Linked DNA regions of Macaca mulatta. The protein of the gene in region 1 interacts with the protein of each later gene in a pairwise test. Links are inferred from orthologs where the notes say so. Each region holds a gene or a part of one and is shown on either strand. Other genes may lie near its edges.

What was found.
Region 2: the proteins of NFE2L2 (region 1) and MAFK interact in binary tests that used the Homo sapiens proteins (3 or more experiments, as listed by UniProt). The link is inferred for Macaca mulatta from reciprocal best matches to the Homo sapiens genes NFE2L2 and MAFK.
Region 3: the proteins of NFE2L2 (region 1) and MAFF interact in binary tests that used the Homo sapiens proteins (3 or more experiments, as listed by UniProt). The link is inferred for Macaca mulatta from reciprocal best matches to the Homo sapiens genes NFE2L2 and MAFF.

What each region holds. Positions count from the first base shown.
Region 1 is NC_133417.1:82,176,618-82,183,067, reverse strand, and holds the start of NFE2L2 (nuclear factor erythroid 2-related factor 2), read left to right. Parts: upstream 1-2,855; 5' UTR 2,856-2,990; intron 2,991-4,602; exon of another isoform or gene 4,603-4,938; intron 4,939-6,450.
Region 2 is NC_133408.1:35,469,057-35,475,462, reverse strand, and holds the start of MAFK (transcription factor MafK), read right to left. Parts: upstream 4,172-6,406; 5' UTR 3,912-4,171; intron 1,674-3,911; exon of another isoform or gene 1,569-1,673; intron 1,417-1,568; exon of another isoform or gene 1,357-1,416; intron 1,238-1,356; exon of another isoform or gene 904-1,237; intron 803-903; exon of another isoform or gene 89-802; intron 1-88. UniProt on the Homo sapiens protein: Since they lack a putative transactivation domain, the small Mafs behave as transcriptional repressors when they dimerize among themselves.
Region 3 is NC_133415.1:13,287,588-13,294,227, forward strand, and holds the start of MAFF (transcription factor MafF), read right to left. Parts: upstream 3,859-6,640; 5' UTR 3,530-3,858; exon of another isoform or gene 3,504-3,529; intron 2,828-3,503; exon of another isoform or gene 2,762-2,827; intron 2,698-2,761; exon of another isoform or gene 2,633-2,697; intron 2,432-2,632; exon of another isoform or gene 2,226-2,431; intron 1-2,225. UniProt on the Homo sapiens protein: Since they lack a putative transactivation domain, the small Mafs behave as transcriptional repressors when they dimerize among themselves.

The DNA.
Region 1 (6,450 bases):
CCTTCTCTGATGTCGTAATTTTAATAAGTAACTTGAATTGTTAACAATTTACTCTTGTCTTTCTCTTGGACTCAGAAATGTTATTTTATTATTATGTCTCTGCATCTTTCATGTGAGGTCCTTTGCAAACAATTTCTCCTAACTTGTTTTCATTGTGCAGATAATGTTGCAGGGTTTTCACATAACAGCTGAAAGGAATTAATAGGAATTGAAGAAGCTTGCTTCAATTACAAGTAATTAATGTAGGCTTCACTTATCTCAAGGAATATCTGAATATACAAATTTACACATAAATCCTGGGAGTGTCAAATTATGCAACAGAGAGAAAGTAAGCTCTGCAGTTTTTTGGGCGTTGATCGCTATAGTCAGGGGTGTGTGTGTGTGTGTGTGTGGTTTTTGAATGAAATAGTAAAACCACTGCCAGTATTATCTACTTCACCTGGTTCTGAATAATTCCAGGAAGGTAGAAACTGAAAACCAGTCTTGTTAAAGAGTTAGAAAGACTGTAAATGCGTAAGAGGAAAGAAAAAAACAAAACCAAACCATTTATCTATCCTCTTTGAACCCGTTTCACAATATTCCTGATTTCAAATACTTGAAGTTTTCTCTGGGCAATAATTAATGTTTAAATAATTGTTTTTAATGTAAGACATAACACATACGCATTGCAGATTTAAAGCATACTTGGAAGTAGCAAGGAAAAAGATAAAAATCATTGATTCCACAGCATTTAATATATTGGTAACTATCCTTCAATTTTTTTCTGGGCACATGTTTTTATAAAATGAGCCAATACTATACAAACGTTTTTGTAACTTTTTAAAATTTGTACTATTTTGTGAGTACGTGAAAAAGAAATTTGTAAAGATTAAAAGATCATAGCATGTTGTGGTATTACACACTGTTGAAGGGCGCCATCTGTGGCGTGGTGGCTGTGCTTTAGTGGGAAGAAGTTCTCTTGCGGTTCCCGTTTTTCTCCCAGCTCTGGGTAGGCAATACTGACCACTCTCCGACCTAAAGGGACTTCTCCGTTTGCCCTTGACGGAGACACGTGGGAGTTCAGAGGAGAGCGTTCAGGGTGACTGCGAACACGAGCTCCCGGCGCTGTCCACATCTCCCCTGGGCAGGGCCCACTGCCCCCAGCCCGGGAGGGGAGCAAGGGCGGGAGGGCAGTTGGCAGTGGCACGGCCTGGGTCCAAACCTTTAGCCCCCCACCCCGGCTGGCGCCACTCTCGGGCGGTAAAGTGAGATAAAAGCAGGGCAAGGTTCTGTAACTCCAAATCAGGGAGGCGCAGCTCCTACACCAACGCCTTTCCGGGGCTCCGGGTGTGTTTGTTCCAACTGTTTAAACTGTTTCAAAGCGTCCGAACTCCAGCGACCTTCGCAAATAACTCTTTATCTCGCGGGCTAGAGCGCTGCCCTTATTTGCGGGGGAGGGCAACTGAACGCCGGCACCGGGGCGCTAACTGTGGCCTCCTCTCGATCCCCCGCCTGCTGGGACCCCAGCTGGCAGTCCCTTCCCGCCCCCGGACCGCGAGCTTCTTGCGTCAGCCCAGGCGCGGGTGGGGGATTTTCGGAAGCTCAGCCCGCGCGGCCGGCGGGGGAAGGAAGGGCCCAGGCTCTTGCCCCGCCCTTCTGGGGCGGGAGGCGGAGCGGGGCAGGGGCCCGCCGGCGTGTCGCCGATCAGCGAGTGCCGGGGAGCCCGGAGGAGCCACCGACGCCGCTGCCGCCACCAGAGCCGCCCTGTCCGCGCCGCGCCTTGGCAGCCGGAACGGGGCCGCCGTCGGGGAGCCCCAACACACGGTCCCCAGCTCAGCATGATGGAGTTGGAGCTGCCGCCGCCGGGACTCCCGTCCCAGCAGGTGCTGCCTCGGCCCTCTGGGCCCTGCGGTGGTGCCGGGACGGGGGCGGGGGAGCTAGGGAACCGCGGCCCGGGAGGGATAGCCGCAGCCGGCTTCCTCCACGTCCGGCCAGAGCCAGGACCGCAGCGCTGGCTGGAGCCGCCGCGCTTGCGCTGGGGCAGGGTGGGGAGGGGCAGCGGGGACGCGGCCGGGTGGTCCGACCGACCACGAGCCCGAGGGCGAACGGGTGGGAAGTTGCGGGAAGGTCTGGGGACTGAGCCCGCGGGCGTGGGCAGTGGTGGGCGAATCCAGCCGCGTCCCCGGTCCCCAGAGCTGGGCTTCGGAGCCCCTAAGTTTGAGCGGCCCGGCGGGCGGCGGGGCAAGAGGGGCGGACGCTGGCCGTCTGAGCCGGCGCGGCCCGGCCCTTCCGGGGCTGCGCGGCTCCCCCGCCTCAGAGCCGGCAAAAATGTGCCTAGTCACGGGGCCACTCTCGGGGGAACTGAGGTCGCCTTCGTGCTGGGACCCAGAGCCCCTTCGCCGCGCCCCAAGACCTCCGTGTGTGCGGGCTGCGGCGCGCTCACACCGCTGGGCCGTCTGTGGGCGCTGCTTTGCGAAGTCATCCATCTGTCGGATCACTCTCTGGCAGCCTTGAGCTTTCTTGAAAGCTCAACCCCGGGACGAGGGAGGAGCGCCTGAAGTGCCCAGCGGGCCCAGAAGCCCCGACGTGTGGCGGCTGAGCCGGGCCCCGCGCACTTTCTCGGCCGGGGAGGGGTTCGGGCCCGGGCACCCGGAGTTGGCCTCTCGCAACGCCGCGGGAAAGTGCGGGCGAGGGCAGCGGACTCTGAGGCCGGAGTCGGCGGCACCCGGGGCGTCTAGTTCGGACGCGGTGCCCCCTGGTGGCGCGCACCGCGCGCGTGGCTTTGGCCTCTGTGACAGCGGTCTGTTGGCCGTCACAGCAGCCCTCGGTTGGCCCTTTCCTGCTTTATAGCGTGCAAACCTCGCCGCGCCAGGGCCAAGGGACAAGTTGGAGCTGTTGATCTGTTGCGCAATTGTTATTTTCCCCAGAGCGGCTTTGTCTTTGGATTTAGCGTTTCAGAATTGCAATTCCAAAATGTGTAAGACAGGAGATTCTCTTCTGTGCTGTCAAGGGTAAGAGTTGCGAGTGTAGATTAGAATTTCTATTGCTTTTAGTTTGTTAATAATTTTTTGCTTTCAGCTGTTATTTCTTCCCTGAGTACTTTATATATTTTTCCTTTTCAGTTGAGAATTTGCCTCAGTTTCTTAACATGTCCACCCTCTTTTGCAGGGGCAGAGAGTGGAACGCTTGCGTTTCAAAACACATGCTAATTTCTGTAAATTGTTATAAAAGTGAAAAGAAGTTTCAGCTCATCCTTGTAGAAACTTTAAAAGTAGATATTTATATTTCTAATTTCTTTTGTAAATGAATTTTAGGAAAAAAATTGGAATTCAAGGAAACGTGTACTTGATGTACGGTAAATTCGTTTATGCTGTTAAATGTAAAGTCTTAGGTTAATTCCAAAGATCTATTGTAAAGTTTTAAGTTATAGACAATGTATTAATTGTGCCTTTTTTTCCCCCTTTAAAGTTGTCTTGAACTTTTCCCCAATCTTGATTGGGATTATATTCTTCTGGTTCCAACTAGGGAAGAAGTAAATTGTACTTTACGATTTATTTAATAGCTGCTGTTCAAGAGTTATCTATAGGAATGCTTGTTTGACCGAAGGATATATGATAAAAATGAACTTTGGTTTTTCTAATTTCCCGAATTGTCTACAACCCTCTATTAAATTTTTCTTTCTTTGCTGTGTAATATAACATTCCATATACAAAAATGCATAAAACATATGTACTGCATTAAGTGTGTATTTTTCAATTACGTTTGATAAAAATAACTGCTTTTCTGCCTTTGTAATCAGATATCGATTTGCATATTTGAAAACAGAAAAAGAACAAGAAAATTTAGAATTGATTTCGTTTATGATTCATATTAGATTGTTGTCATCCATAAAGATTTGAACTGAGTCAAACATTTTCTTGATCTTTTGTCAAAAAAACTCTCCAGGTGTGAAGTGGTAGTAGGATGTAGTTTTTCACCTTCTGTGCAGAGGATGTGTTGATAAACAGGGCAGTAAGGAGAGCCTTAGATTCAGTATCCCCATTAGGTGGAAGGAACATCCATTACTCTTTTCAAGGGTGTCTTGGAGAGATAAAGTACTTTCCTGGATGAGGGATGAAGCTGATATTGAAATAGACCGATGAGATTATGTTTAAGTCAAACAAAAGAAAAATAGGACAGGCCTCTCATCTCCTGAATGAATGTTAAGCAAAGACCAACTTGACTTTTTAGATATGTGAAAAATCTCTTGAGAGGTTGTGGAAGCAGCATGTAGGAGGATAAATGCATAACTCACATCAGTCTTTTCCGCATTAAAAATAACTTGGGCCATTTTGAAATCTTTCTTTCTTGCCCTGGGTTGTTATAAGCAACGTTGGGGGAAAACCGACTCTGTCTTTAGGATTACCAGGAAAAGTTGAAAGCCAAATGCATCATTTTTCTTAAGATTTGTTTCTATTGAGGATAAATCATGTTTAACAAAGCTGCGTGAAAAAAAGGAACACAACAAGTACATTTTTTTTTCTGGGAATTTCCTCTGTCCTGACTGAAGACATTAAAAGGGGGTTTTGTGTCAGTATTTCCTCCTTAACTGTTCCTTGAACGTGGGTTATCTTTTCAGTATGCAGGAAGAATTTGGCACTAAGATAATAATAGATAAGTTACTGGGCACTTCCCTGGGTCCAAACATAATTGCTTCACATGCATAATTTTACAGTAACCTCACGGGAAATACTATTATCCCTGGTTTCCAGGTTGGGAAAACCAGAGATAATAGTTAGATCAGGCATTAGGTTAGGAAAGAGGCACAGAGAAAGGCCAAGACCTGCTAAGGTGACCAAACTATTGAGTGGCCAAGGTAGCATTCAAACAGGTTTGACTCCTGGGGGCTCCTAATCACCACTTCCAGACTACCAAAACTCCTTAAACTTTAAATAGGAAGAAAAACTCACACTTCAAAAGGTGAGTAAGTTGAGATTTGCCTATTCTGGGGGAAGGAGAGGCTAGAATGTAAAAGATTGATGTTTGCAGCTTTTCCATTTAGCAAGACACTTAATCACTGTATGACTGGGGGAGGTGGACCTTGTTAAATGCTGGGAGAGTGAATACAACCCATCAATGGGATTACCCACTGTGGTCCTTTTCAGGAAGACACAGAAGCCTCGGTGGGTTCAATTTAGAGAGGCAGGACTGTTTTTTTGTTTTGTTTTGTTTTGTTTTGTTTTTGAGATGGAATCTTGTTCTGTTGCCCAGGCTGGAATGCAGTGGCCTAATCTTGGCTCACTGCAACCTCCACTTCCCGGGTTCAAGTGATTCTACTGCTTCAGCCTCCAGAGTAGCTGGGATTATAGGCACTCACCTCCCGGATAATTTTTTGTATTTTTCGTAGAGATGGGGTTTCACCATGTTGGCCAGGCTGGGCTGGTCTCGAACTCCTGACCTCAGGTGATCCACCCGCCGCGGCCTCCCAAAGTGTTGGGATTACAGGTGTGAACCACTGCGCCAGCCTGTTTCTTAATATAATAAGTTTTTTAAATTCCTGGGGTCTTGGCAATGTCTAAGATTCTGCCTCACAGTTTTCAGGAACTGTTTCCCTTTGTTCTTAATTAAATCTCTTTGCTACTGGAGTCTTTGCCTTTGTTCGCCTTGCTAGTTGGTACATTTCTTCTGTTCCATTGGCGCTTTTTGTTTTGAAGTAGTGCTCAAAAATAAGTTTGGTAGTAAGAATATGGTGAAGACTGTGACGGACAGGGTTAAACCAGGTTGAAGGAAAGAGCAGAATGGGGAAAATTTGAGTTGAAAACAGCTAGCAGAAACCTGATGGCGCAAATTCAACCCTAATCTCATGTTTTGGCACTTTTGAACTATAGCAAGCATAAGGGCTCAAGTCTTATCTAGTTGAAGCTAACTTGGGTCTTTGAGAATAGTACATCTCAAAATTAAACACTTTCTTAGTCCTTATTGTTAAACAAGTTGTTTTTGGAATTATTGTCTTATTTGTCTGAATTAAGTGTGCTGCAGGACTTATAGGATCTGATGGATGATTTGCCTAAAAGTTAGTCCAGGTCAGCCTTAGGGCATTTAAGTGCTTGGTCCAGCCACTTTCTGAAAGTTGACTGAAATATGTTGCACACCAGGGTAGAGGAGGACAAGTTTACTAGATGTCATTTTTAACCTGCTTGTCTTCATCTCTGACTGTAGAAATGTTTATTCATTGTAAGTTTGCCATAAATAGAGAACAGAGTTTATTTTTTTGATCATTTAATTTCTAGGAGCTATTGAAATTTCACTGCTACCTGCTTTTAAATAAGCACCAACAAACATTTATTAAAAGGGCTTTAAGGTATAGGCCAAGATTTATTCAATTGCTAATGGTATGTTTTCTGTAAATGAAAGCAAAAATATGTTCAAGTATATAATATTAAATATTAACATTCAGAAACTGTTGGAGAAATATATATGGCTTTCTTATAC
Region 2 (6,406 bases), on another chromosome or scaffold:
TGGAGAAACGGGGATTTCAGCTTCAGGGCTCTGATTCTTCCTGGATGAGAGGACGCATCAGGGCCGCTGCTCGCTCTCCAAGGCCGGCATGGGGGCTCTGGATGGGTCACTTGTTCTCTCCCAAGGGGTGAATGACAAGGCAGACCCCACGCCCCACCCCCGCGGCCACCCAGCCGGTCTGACCGAGACGGAGCGGCCCTTCCACTTCTATCCTCCACGGGTCTCCGAGGCTGTGGGATGCGGGAGAGGGAGGAGGGGTGGGAGGAAGACCAGGAACGGAGGACGGGAGTTGTGTTCGAGACTCGGGTTTAGAAATCCAGGAGCACAGCAGTAAGCACCCTCCCGCTCTCCCTCACCAGTGACTCCCACGACAGGTGCAATCCACAAAACCAGAGGCCGCCCAGGGTGTACCTGCCTCTCCCAGGAGCCTTTCTGCCAGAGACCCCAAGCCAGGCACCCTCCACAGGGGGCCACAAGGGTAGGTGGGGCCACTGTGGCACTGGTACCCAGTGGGCACCTGCCAAACAGGTGTCAACCGACTAACTGCAGCCCGGCTGCTCCCAGAGACCAGCCAGACACCCTTCCTATTGAGGATGAGGACCCCCACTGTCCGGCTGTCCTGGACATGGGAAATGCGGGAGGCACCCCACTTGGCACCCCCCAGCCCGGCCCGCACCAGCCGGCAGCCTGGCCCTGGCTGGCTGCCCTCCAGCAAGCCACGACTGTCCGCCTGGCTTGGAGGACGTCTGGTCACCTTGCATTTGCAGTCTGAGGAAGCTGTGTCATTCCGCTACATCCAGAGGTGACTCAGGCAGCTGCAGCAGCAGAGAGCAAACTGCAGAACACACCACACCTCCTCCAGTCCCTGCCCTGGCTCCCACCACACCATCCTCCTGTCCTCAGCTTCCAGCTTCCCGTCAGCGTCCTGTTCTCCCCGGCCAACCTGGGGCTTCAATCCACTCCCAGCTTCCAAGTCCAACCAGGGGCATTCCGGGGGGCCCAGATGCCCCCCAGCCCCCAACCGCATCACTCACCGGAGTTGCCCCCACCCCTGTCTCTTTTCCTCGTCCACGCTCCAACCGGGCTTGATCCCAGCCCTCAAGCATCTCCCGCCCGAACCCGCAGCACCTGCCCAGGCTCCGGCCTCCAGCTTCTCCAGTGTGGACCACAGCTTTGCCAAAGGGATGCCCTCACCCTGATCCTGGTGCCCCCCACGCAGCCCCACAGGCAGTCAAAAGTTTTGGGGTTCCTCCCAAACCCCGACCCCCTCACCCCAACACCGTTTCAGGTTTCTGATCACCCCCATCTGCAGAGAGCACGTGGCCCCCTGCCCCCCTCAAGCCCTGCTTCTTCCAGAAACGCTCCCCACTGCTCTCCTTGCGTAGGCAAGCACCCTCTACCAAGGCCTGGTTCTAGATCCTTCTGGGGACGGGGCCCTCCCCGTGGTGTGGTGAGCTCCTCGCAAGCAGGGAGCATGTCTTCCCTACACCCCATACGAGCCTCCCACTGTACGAGATGAGCCGGCCCCGCACGGGAGGGCAGCGAGAGGGCAGTCTCCACCCCAATACCTTCCCCAGGACGCCCGACGCGCAGTGCGAACAAGCAGGCAGGTTCTACACCAGACCCCACCGGCCCTTGGGACGGGCCAGCAGACGTCACGGCCTGGGTTTCCTCATCTACAGCGGCCGGTCGGGGTGGGGCGTGTGACCTCTCAGGTTCATTTGTACCTGCTCTAAAACTCTATGATTTTAAGACGACACTCCCAGTTTCCTGAAACTGTAGGAAAGCGGAAACATGACGGAGTCTGTGACTTATAAAAAGCAAAAATAAATAGCGGGGAAAGGTATCTTCCATTCGCGGAGAGCAGGGAGGGTGGGGACGGAGCGGTGAGTCACTGTTTACTGTTGAAAGGCAGCCACACGGAGCCTTCTCCCAGCTGGCCAGATTTCCATTTCCCGTGTGGACTGGACCCGAAACCCAGAAAGTCCACTCCAGAAACCTTTAGACTCAGAAACAGCTGGGACAGGAACAGGCACAACTTCTTCTCGGTCTGGGTGGCAAACAGCTTTGCTGGAGACTGTAAACAAACGCAGCCATCGCCGAGCCCCGTGGGTGAAAGCGCACGCCTTGTAGACAGCAGAGTGGCCCGGAAGACGGTCTCACTTAACAGCGGCCTCCCGGGTGCGCACAAAGGCTGGCGCCCCGACAGCCCCAACCCTTGGTAAACGCTGGCTCCCGGGTTTACCAGCACCTGGGGAATCAATGCTGTAGGGAACCAGCCCCTCAAAGCCCTGGCTCAGCTCAAGGATAAAAGGCAGGAGAAACCTGGTTTGTTTTTCTGCTTTAGTAAATGTCTTATTTTGGAATAATGAAAGGTCTAGTTTTAAAAAGCAGACTCCCTCTCCCAAGGTCAAACTCAGACATTCCTACTGGGTTACCTAAGAAGGGGAGATGTTCTCTTAAACGGCACTGGACGCCCAAATAGGATGTAGGTGTGTCCCAGACACCTGCACAGCCCACCTATGTTCTCCAGACCCCGCCCACAGCTCTTTCAATACTCCACATCTCTGAAGACACTGGGCTTGGAGAAGCTGCACAGGGCATCCCACTCCATGTTGGAGACCCCCTTACAACAACACACTGTGATAGTGAAACCTCAGTGCCAGTAGAGACCTGGCAGCCCACCCTGGAGAATCAGAGGGGTGGGAAGGGCAGTGCCGGAGCCGAACCACAGTGATATCCCCTAGTCCACGGTGTCCCGCAGTGGGGGGCGTTTTGAGTCCCAGGATCGTCCCAAGGCCAGGCACCTGGCCAGAGAGTGGCTGGCTGCCTGTGGGTCACCTGGTGAATGAATGGTGGATCTGATTTCTGCCTCAGCTACAAGAGCCGCCTAAGCAGCAAGAAACAGCATGCTCAGGGATGCAGGACACGGGGAGAGGGACACAGGAGGCCCCGCAAACATGAACACACACGGTGTGAGGGTGAGAATGCAGCACAGGGCCACTGCTGTACCCCAGGGGGACCCAGGTCAAGGGCCAAGGCCAGGCGGGGTCCTGGCTTTCTGGGTTTTTCCGCGGCGCCTCGACCCACCCCCCCAGTATCTTGAGGGTGTGCAAACAGAGACACACACACACACAGCGTCACGAGCACATAACACAGTTTCCTGAACTTGACAAGAGACACAGAAGAACCCACGCAGTGGGAGCGGGAAGAGGCCTGAGCCCCTGCCCCACATGTGAGCAAAGGGACACGCGCCTTGGGGCCCCTGTCACCTGCTCCCCTCCTGCCTCCCCACGGCCTTCCTTCCAGCAACCCTGGCAGGTGGGCGGCTGAAAGCAACACCAGTCCCAGGATCCTGCCTGTAGGGAGACTCGGTTACCCCCACCCCGTCCACGGGCACGCGTGGGCCGCAGCGCCGCCCGTCACCGGGAGGAAGCGAGGGGGGCAGGCCGGGGCCGCACGCGGAAGCCACGCTGGGGCGGAAGGCACGGGGAATCCACGCGCCCGCGCCCTCCCCGCGCCGCCCGCACGTGGCGCCCGCCCCGCCCCCCGCAGGTGTGAAGGCGCGGGCACAATGCGCGCCGCCGACTCGCGTGGACTCCCGTGTTCCCAGGTCTGGGGTCCACGCCCCAGGGCCCCGGGCTTAGGAAGCATGGCCCGGGCGGCACGTGCAGGGCAGAGAGCTTCGCGTCCCGGGGAAGCCCCCTGGGCCTGCGGGGCTGGGCCCAACGGGGCAGGTGCGCGGGCCGCGTAGGGGGCCGCATGGGGGTCTCGGGCCCTGCGCACCCAACCCCGCCACCCTCGGCCCGCGCCCCCGGGCGGCCGTGACTCAGCGGCCAGGTGGCCCCAGCCCCGCGTCCCGGTCTCCGTCCCCGCCGCGGCCCGGTCCCCGCTGCTCCACCGCCCCTCACCTGGCGTCGAGCGGAGGGCGCGGGCGCGCGGCGGCTCCTCGCGGGCACGCGCTGTCCTCGCGCCGGCGCTCACTCTCGCGCTCCCCTCGGCCGCCGCCGCCTGGCGCTCGGGCTCCGACTTCACGAAGAACAACAACTCCCCCCCGCCGCCCGCCGCCACCGCGCCCGCCCGCCCGGCTCCCCAGCATCTGACACCGCTTCCGGGATCCGCGGCGCGCGCGTCACGCCGCCCCGCCCCCCTGGGGCCACGCCCCCTCCCTCCCCCGCGGGCACGCCCTCCTCTCCCGCCCGGGGGTCCGCGGGCCCCGCCCGCACCTGCAATTCCCGCGCTTTGGGAGGCCCGGCGGGAGGATCTCTGTGGGCCAGCAGTTCAAGACCAGTCTGGGCAACATAGCGAAACCTCCCTTCCCCCATTCCCCGTCTCTACAAACATAAAAAACATTAAGGCCAGCTGGGCACAGTGGCTCATGCCTGTAATCCCAGCACGCTGGGAGGTCAAAGCAGGAGGATCGCTTGAGCCCAGGAATTCCAGACCAGCCTGGACAACATAGTGAGACCCCCATCTCTACAAAAAATTACAAAAAGTAGTCGGTCGTGGTGGTATGTGCCTGTAGTCCCAGTTACTCAGGAGGCTGAGGCAGGAGGATGGCTTGAACCTGGAAGGTGGAGGCTGCAGTGAGCCATGATTTCATCACTGCACTCTAGCCTGGGTGACAAGGTGAAACCCTGTCTCAAAAAACAAAACAAAACAAGCAAACCAGCAATGTAAAAATGGGGATAAGCGGCTACTGGTCACAGCTTCTGTGAGTGGGGCCAGCCCCCTTCTAAAGCCCCAGCTGCTGGTTGCCAGGGGGCCACAGCAGGCCCAGGATGGGGTTAGGGCACCACTGGCCCAAGGAGTCCTGTGAGGGATCCTCAGGTGGGAGCAGGTCCCTGAGGGAGCTGCCTCTGCTTCTTGTCGCAGGTGGAGGACAGGCTGGAGTGGGGACCCGTCCAGAGTCCCTCAGAGGGGAGGGTGAGCCCCTTACCAAGCTTCTGGGTCCCCAAGTCCCGCCCTCCTCTGAGCGCTGCGGGAAGAGGAGTCTCAGGCCTGGCCAACCAGGGCACCCACGGCATCTGCCCAGGGTTCTGGGAAGCCTGTTTTCTCGGCTCAGGTGGGACTCGGGAGCCTGTTTCTCGGCTCAGGTGGGACTCAGGAGCAAGGACAGGGAGGTCTGTGCATCTTCTGGGTGTCATCCTTACCACCGCGTGCCTGGGGATTTAGGCAGCCGCCCAGTGGCCTCTTGCTGTGGAGCGAGGGGGCAGCCTCCCGGACCATCTCTGACCCCCACTTCTGACCACCTGGGAGGCGCCTCCTTGCTGAGGCCCACGCTGCCGTCTGGGGTAGCCAGACACAGTGATGCCTGCAACCTGGCTGCAGAAACAGGTGCCAAGAAATAGCAGCAGTAGCGACAATGTCCCACGTCCCCAGGATGTTTGCAGAAAGACATCCCCGGGGGATGGGAAAGCTGCTTCCCTTGTCCCGGCCCACACTTTGCACTTGGGGTTCTGGGATGCGCTGGGAGCCTCCAGAGAAGCTGTGAGCGTCTCCTCTTTACGTTACTCATGGTGTCGCTGCTCTAACCCAACTGCATTCTTTCCATAGTAGGCTTTTGTTACTAATCGCACAGTTATATTATCTTTTTAATTTTTTAATTTGTATTTATTTATTTTTTTATTTTGACACAGAGTCTCACTCTGTCGCCCAGGCTGGAGTGCAGTGGTGCCATCTCAGCTCACTGCAAGCTCCGCCTCCTGGGTTCACGCCATTCTTCTGCCTCAGCCTCCCCAGTAGCTGGGACTACAGGTGCCCACTGCCACGCCCGGCTAATTTTTTTGTATTTTTTAAAATAGAGACGGGGTTTTGCCGTGTTAGCCAGGATGGTCTCGATCTCCTGACCTCGTGATCTGCCCGCCTCGGCCCCCCAAAGTGCTGGGATTACAGGCGTGAGCCACTGCGCCTGGCCGTATTTACTTTTGAGACGGAGTCTCACTCTGTCATCCAGCCTGGAGTGCGGTGGCACCATCTCAGCTCACTCCAGCCTCTGCCTCCCGGGTTCAGTGGTTCTTCTGCCTCAGCCCCCCGAGTAGCTGGGATCACAGGTGCCCACCACCACATATGGTTAGTTTTTTGTTGTTGTTGTCGTTGTTGTTTTGAGATGGAATCTCACTCTGTTGCCAGGCTGGAGTGCAGTGGCGCAATCTTGGCTCACTGCAAGCTCCGCCTCCCAGGTTCAAACAATTCTCCTGCCTCAGCCTCCTGAGTAGCTGGGACTACAGGTGCCTGCCATCATGCCCGGCTATTTTTTTTTTTTAATTGTATTTTTAGTAGAGATGATGTTTCACTGTGTTAGCGAGGATGGTCTCGATCTCCTGACCTCATGATCCGGCTTTCTCGGCCTCCCAAAGTGCTGGGATTACAGGCACGAGCCACCACACACAGCCAATGTTTGTAT
Region 3 (6,640 bases), on another chromosome or scaffold:
AGTGGTGGACTGGAACCCAGGGGTCCTCTCTCTTCTATTCCGGCCACCACCGCCTCTCCCTAGCTTCTTCCCTTGGAAGCCAGCAGAGCTGACCTCCAGGGTCTGGAGGTCCATGACGTCTTCTGGAGGCATAAGGAGAGAGGTGACTCTTGAGGGACTGACAGCTGCCTTGTCCAGTCAGCAGCCACAACCCTCCAACGTCCCCCTCCCTGGCCCCAGCAGTCCACTCCAGAGACATCCTGTAGAAGGCCCACCCGCTGGCATGGGCTCCTCTCTGGCTGCTGAGCCATTTTGCTTGCTCTGTGAGGACAGAGGGAAAAAATGTGTTTTCCTAGGTCTTGGCAGCCAGCTCTGCTGGAGCCGCCTCCCTGCTGGAAGGGGAGCAAGGCTGGGAGAACCCAGCACCACAGAGAAGCAACGGCCTGGGGTTCCAGCCCTAGTTCGGGCACCCTCTCACACTCGCTGTGTGGCTTCAGGGACAGCACTCCCTCTCTCTGGGCCTCAGTTTTCCCAATACGCCAAACCTCCTCCAAGTCTAAGGTACCTTCCAACAATGACTATCTCCGAGTTTAGAGTTTCAGATTCTGGCTCAGAGCTCCAAGACCACCAGCAGAATAGAGGCAGGGAAAGGAAAGTGGTGAAGGCTTCCCGAAGGTGGGGGCATGAGACGCAAACTATCAGACTATCAGACTAGCCCTCTTCTCCACCTGCACAGCCACAGACCACTTCTTCTTTCATCTGGACCATGACCACAGCTGCCTGCTCACCAGCCTCTTGCCTTGCCGTCTGTCTCCAATCCCCACCATTGATCCTCCCGCAAGAGCTGTCAGAGGAATCACTACTGACACAAACCCACGAGCCTCTCCGTGCTTGGCCCATTTCAAAACCCTGCAATGCCAGCCTCCCCGCAAGCCCACACAGTAGGGTCCTCAGGCCTCAACCATGTTCCTGTCCACTCTCTCCCAGGATCATATGCTAACAAATGAATGAACAGATAGCAAATTCTACTATCCCTGAATGTTTCCCAAAGGGACAAGCGGGCAGTGCATGCCTGTGTGTGTGAGGGAGGAAGTTGCCTGAGCCCTGAAGGATCTGCTCGCTTTTGGGAGACTGCTTCAAGATTCCTCCAGCCTCTGCCCTGGCTTCCTGTTTCTCTGGGGTTCCCAGGCCTTTTTCTGCATATGTTGTGGAGCTCTTCGAGGACAGGGATCCAGGGCTCATTCATGCAATCAGCAAACATTCGAGAAGCACCCATTGTGTTCCAGGCTCTGTGCTGGGCCCTGGAGACCCTGAAGTGAATCACAGTTCCTGCCTTCAAGGGCTTTGCAGACAACCACCACTCTATCAGACTCAGTGCACTAGTCACCTCCCCAGGGAAGCCTTCCTTGATTGCCCTGGCTAAGTCAGAGCGCTGTTATGTACTTTCAAACCACAGTGACTTCTCCCTCACGTCACCCATCTCAGCTGTGTTTTGCATTTACTTCTGTGGATCTTTCTTCAACTCTGTGTCCACTGCTCAGCTGTAAGCTCCCAGAGGTCAGTCTCTGGATCTGGTCTGTTCATCTCATCCCTGGCATCTGGTCCAGGGCAGGGGCCCAATGGCAATGCAGGGCCCAGGGGTGATTCAATGGGAAGTTAAACCTCTCAATGCTAACTTTTCATCTGGGACTGAGTCAACCAGCCACTTCCCCTCATCCCCTGACCCCAGGCCCTACTTTGGAAAGTTTCCTGCCCAGCTTTGAGGGTGGGCCTGTCTGGTTCCTGTGCTCCTGGCCCCAACCCCCCTGACCTACTCTTGGGTACCCCCAGCTCCTGGCATGGGGCAGTCGGCTCTTTCTCTTCCACAATTCACCTGGAAAATATGCTGCCTGCAGTCTGAGACTTCCAGAGCTTCCCCCTTCTACCCACCATCCTGCCATCCTGGCTGTTATCTAGTTCCAGTGGCAGATGGGAACACTGAGGGTCTCAGCTGCTGCAGCAGAGCTCACCCAGGGTTCAAAGATCCAAAGTCAAAAGATCATTGGTTCCTCACACTAGGAAGTTCCATTGCTCCCCTCCCATGATTCCCTAGCCTGTGGGTGGGTGGAGGGGGAAGGTGGATTAAGACCAAGGAATCTCTAGCCCCCAGCCCATCCTGCAGGCTGCTACAACAAACAGGTGCTTTCTGCAGGGCTATTGGGTGAGTGGGTAGGTGGTGGCTAGGTCAGGCCCCACCCCTCGCTCGTTAACCCTTCGTGCAGAGGCCTATCCCCACTGCCTGCTGACCCTGCCTGGCTCAGGGTGAGGACTCGGGGTCTGCCGGCTGGCTCAGAGCCTCAGCTAGCTTCCGGCGTCCAGCTGTAGGTCAGTCTGGTCTCACTAGTCCCACTTGCGAACTGAAACTACCAGGAGGGCGGAAACCGGCTCCACCCCATCCTCCAAGACCTAGCAGGTACAGCCTCCAGAACCCGGACTAGCGAGAAAGCCTGTGGTCCTCTCCCTGCCCCGCACCTTTGCAGTCAAGGTTTTCTGGCCCTTCCTGTTCTCACGGGACTGAGGGGATGGGCAACCCTGGGAAGAAGGAGAGTACGTTGGGTTTTCCCTCCCTAGGGAGCCCCAAAATCTGGGGACAAGAACCTGGGCTCCAACTCACTTTGTTACCAGATCCACCAGGGTGCCAAGCGGGGGTGGCTCACACCCCTCGCTCCTAGCTTAGCTGGGTGGGGTCTTTGATACCTTGCCCCACCCTGTGGCTGCGGGCACCGGCTCTGGGCGGGGGACAAACACTGGGGTCACGTGGCAGAGGCCCTGGGAAACTCCGGGGAGAGCGGGGACCGGACAGCCCTGGGTAAGTAGGACTGGGGAGGCCCGGGCCAGAATTCCCAGACCCCGTGTGAAGACGCATGGGTCCGCTTCCTTCGCTCGGGTCCTTGTTCCGCGTTTACTCCGGTGGCCAGCCCAGGGCACGCCCTCTCCGAGGTACACACCGCTGGTGTACAGGCCCCAGGGAGCGCGCGCGCGGACACGCACACACAAGCACACACGCGCACACACAGCACAACAGACACACGCCCCCCGAGGTACACCGCGCACGCACGCACCGGGCAGGATACCCAGGCCGCCCGCCAGGGAACACACGCCCGACCGCCCGCCCTCAGACGTAAACAAACCGCGCACGCACCGCCCGCCGGCGCCGGGCCAGGGCCTGTTCCCACCGAAGTCACGTAGGAGCACAGCGCCCCCGCCCCCGCCGGGCGGACGCGGAGATCGCCAGCCTGCGCTGCCCCTTCCTCCCCGGCGCCGCCGCCTCCCCGCCCGCGCCCCGGGAAGGGGCCCCGTCTCCACCCCCACTCCGCCGAGCTGGCCTCGGCCCCGTCCTCGGCGTCCCCGGGACGGCCGCTCCCTTCTCCCCGCCCCGAGCCGTCGGGCGATGGAGCCCCGGGAGCCCCGACGGATCGGGCCCCGGCGCCCACCCCAGGCGCGTCCTGGGGCGGGAAACCCTGCCGCCTCGGGGTCCCGCGCACCGCCCTCCTGGCCCCGCGTTCCTCACCCGCCTCTGGGCCCTCTTGGCCCGGCGCACTCGCACGCGCGCGTCTCGCCGCTGTCCCGGCCGCTGTCCCGGCCCGCGCTCTGGTCTGTCTCCCCTCCGCTCTGAGCCGCAGGTCGCTCTGAACCGGGCGCTCTGGAGCGCCGCGCTGAGTTTTGTTGTGGGGAGGGCGGCGCAGGGGGCCGAGGCCGCGCGGAGTTGTAAGGCGAGCTTCCCGGAATTACTCACTCACAGGATTCCTTTCATTCATAAAAACCCAGTCATGCGGTGACGTCACCGTCCCGGCTGCCCTCCGGCCAGCAGCGGCCGCCTGGTCCCTCGGCCCCGCCCCCGTCTGACCCCGCCCCCTGGTAGCCCCGCCCCCGGGGCCGCTCTGGTTCCAGTGCTCGTTGGGTGCGTTCACGCGACACGTCGCGAGAGCCCCGTGGGTGTAGGTGTCATTGGCTCATTTTGCAGTCAGTGGTCCTGGCCCTCTTCTTTCGACCTACACCTTCTGCCTTAATGATCTCATCCAGTCCCGTGGCTTTAAATGACATCTATGACCATGAGCCCCAGGTGTGTATTTCCAGAGCGAACAGCTTCTCTCAGTTCCAGACTCATAGCCAGCTGTCCACTCTGCACCTCCAGTGGGTGTCAGATGGGGACTGCAGAGGACTCGGCCCAAAGACCGCTCCTGATGTCAGCCCTACCTCCACTCCCCTGCCATCCCATCTCAGCTGCTCAAGCCAAAACCTGGGAGCCTGGCTCCATCCCTCACTCTCCCTTCCTTCCCACCTCAGGACTCAAGCTAGTGGTGTCTCCAGGTCTCCTGCATAGGACCACTTCTCACCACTTCCAGTCATGGCACCTGGTCTCAGCACCATCAGCTTACCCGGACAATGGCAGCAGCCTCCGGATAGATAGGCTCCATACTTTGCCTCCAAAGTCTTTCTTTCTACACCAGCCAATGTTCTTCTCAATGTTCAACAAAGCTCAGGTTGTTTACACACCTCCTTTGGCCACTTTCTCTCCATCCACTGCTCTTCGGCCACAGTGCCCTTCTTTCTGTCCCCCAAACATACCGAGCTCATTCCTGCAACAGGCCTTTGGCACTGGCTGTCTCGCCTTCTGTTCACTTGCCTGGCTTTTTCTCATCTTTCATGTCAGCCCAGATGTCACTGCCTCAGAGAGACCTTTCCTGACCACCCTGGTTAAAGCAATCTTCACCTCTGAAATTTTATTTTTATTATTACTGCTTTTCTTGAGACAGGGTCTCACCCTGTCACCCAGGCTGGAGTGCAGTGACACAACCTCCTTCTCCCGGACTCCAGCCATTCTCCCACCTCAGCCTCCCAAGTAACTAGGAGGCTGAGGTGCACGCACCACCATGCCAGGTTCTTTTCTGTATTTTTTTTTTTTTTTTTTAGAGACAGGGTTTTGCCATGTTGCCCAGACTGGTCTCAAACTCCTGAACTCAGGCAATCCACCCATGTTGGGCTCCCAAAATGATGGGATTACAGGTGCAAGCCACTACACCCAGCCTTGAAATTTGTTCTTATATTACCTTAATACTTCTGTAGGGTGTTTCATCATTTATGTATGTGAGTGCTGGTTATTGTCTGTCTGTCTTCCCCAACCAGAATGTATGTTTTACAAAGGCAGGCCTTGTCTGTTTTTCTTTTTTTTTTTTTTGAGGCAGAGTCTCACTCTGTTGCCCAGGCTGGAGTGCAGTGGCATAATCTTGGCTTAGTGCAACCTCTGCCTCCCAGGTTCAAGCAATTCTCGTGTTTCAGCCCCCTATTAGCTGGACTACAGGTGTGTCACCATGCCTGGCCAGGCTGGTCTTGAACCCCTGACCTCAGGCCACCCACCTCGGCCTCCCAAAGTGCTGGGATTACAGATGTGAGCCACTGCGCCTGGCCAGGCTTATCTTGTTCACACTGCCTGCCCACTGTCTGGAATAGTGCTTGGCACGTAGTAGGCCCACAGTAAATACATGTTGAAGGAATACATGACTGGAGGCTCAGAGAGGTGAAAGTGACTTTCTAAATGCACTTGGCTAGGAAGTACCAGCACTGGAATTGGAATCCAGGTCTGAATGATTCCTGGCCCAGGGTACATCGCAGGGGAGGAGGGCCACATAAACATGAGGGCTGTGTGCCGTGGTGGGAAGCCCCACCCAAAAGAGATGGCTTCAGAGGCCACATAGGGGGTGGGTGTTGCTGTTCATCCCGCGCTTTCCTTTGCTCATGATGTCCCCACTGCCTGAAATTCCATCGCTCCCACAGTCTCTCCTGTGAAGCCGACATCATGGTACTTCCTCCACTGTGGAGGGCATAGGACCTCTCCAAATGGGGAGACCTCTGTGTGGCACCCTGATCACCAGCAAGGATCCCCGCTCTTCTTGATGTAGCGAATTCTATTTCAGCGCCCTTGTCTTGCTTTCCTGCCTCTGTGCCTTGGTCCACCAGACACTATGACTTCTTTCCCTTCCCTCCCACAGGCCGTGGGTTTGGTATGCAAATTGGCCCACTAGTTTCCCAGATGACCAAATGTTGAGGCAGCTCTGTCTAGCACTCAAAAAACCAATTGCTCACTCCTCTCCATGTGCATAGCTAAAAGAGCCACCTAGGTTAACTTTTGTAACCTTTGGGGTACAAAAGTTCTTAATTTTAGAAACTGCACAATGGAGTCTATTTTCTCTACTCCCCACCCCATTTAAGAATAAAAACAAAACAAAACAGGGTCTTGCCCTGTTGCCCAGGCTGGAGTGCAGTGGCATGATCATAGCTCACTGCAGCCTTGAACTTCTGGGCTCAAGCGATCCTCTCACCTTAGCCTCCCGAGTAGTTGGGACTACGAGTGTGCATCACTGTGCCTGGATAATTTTTCTATTTTTTGCAGAGATGGGGGTCTCACCATATTGCACAGGTTGATCTTGAACCCTTGGCCTCAAGCCTTCCTTCTGCCTCAGCCTCCCAATCTACTCCCTTTTTTATTAGTTTCTCAGGAGCTGGGGCCACGCCTGGAACATTGTAGGTGCTCAACTAGTGAGTGAATTCCCAGTGGACCTGAACAACACTTCTGGACACCATGCTGCCTATATCCTTTACTCCCATCCCAGCCCCCCAGAAC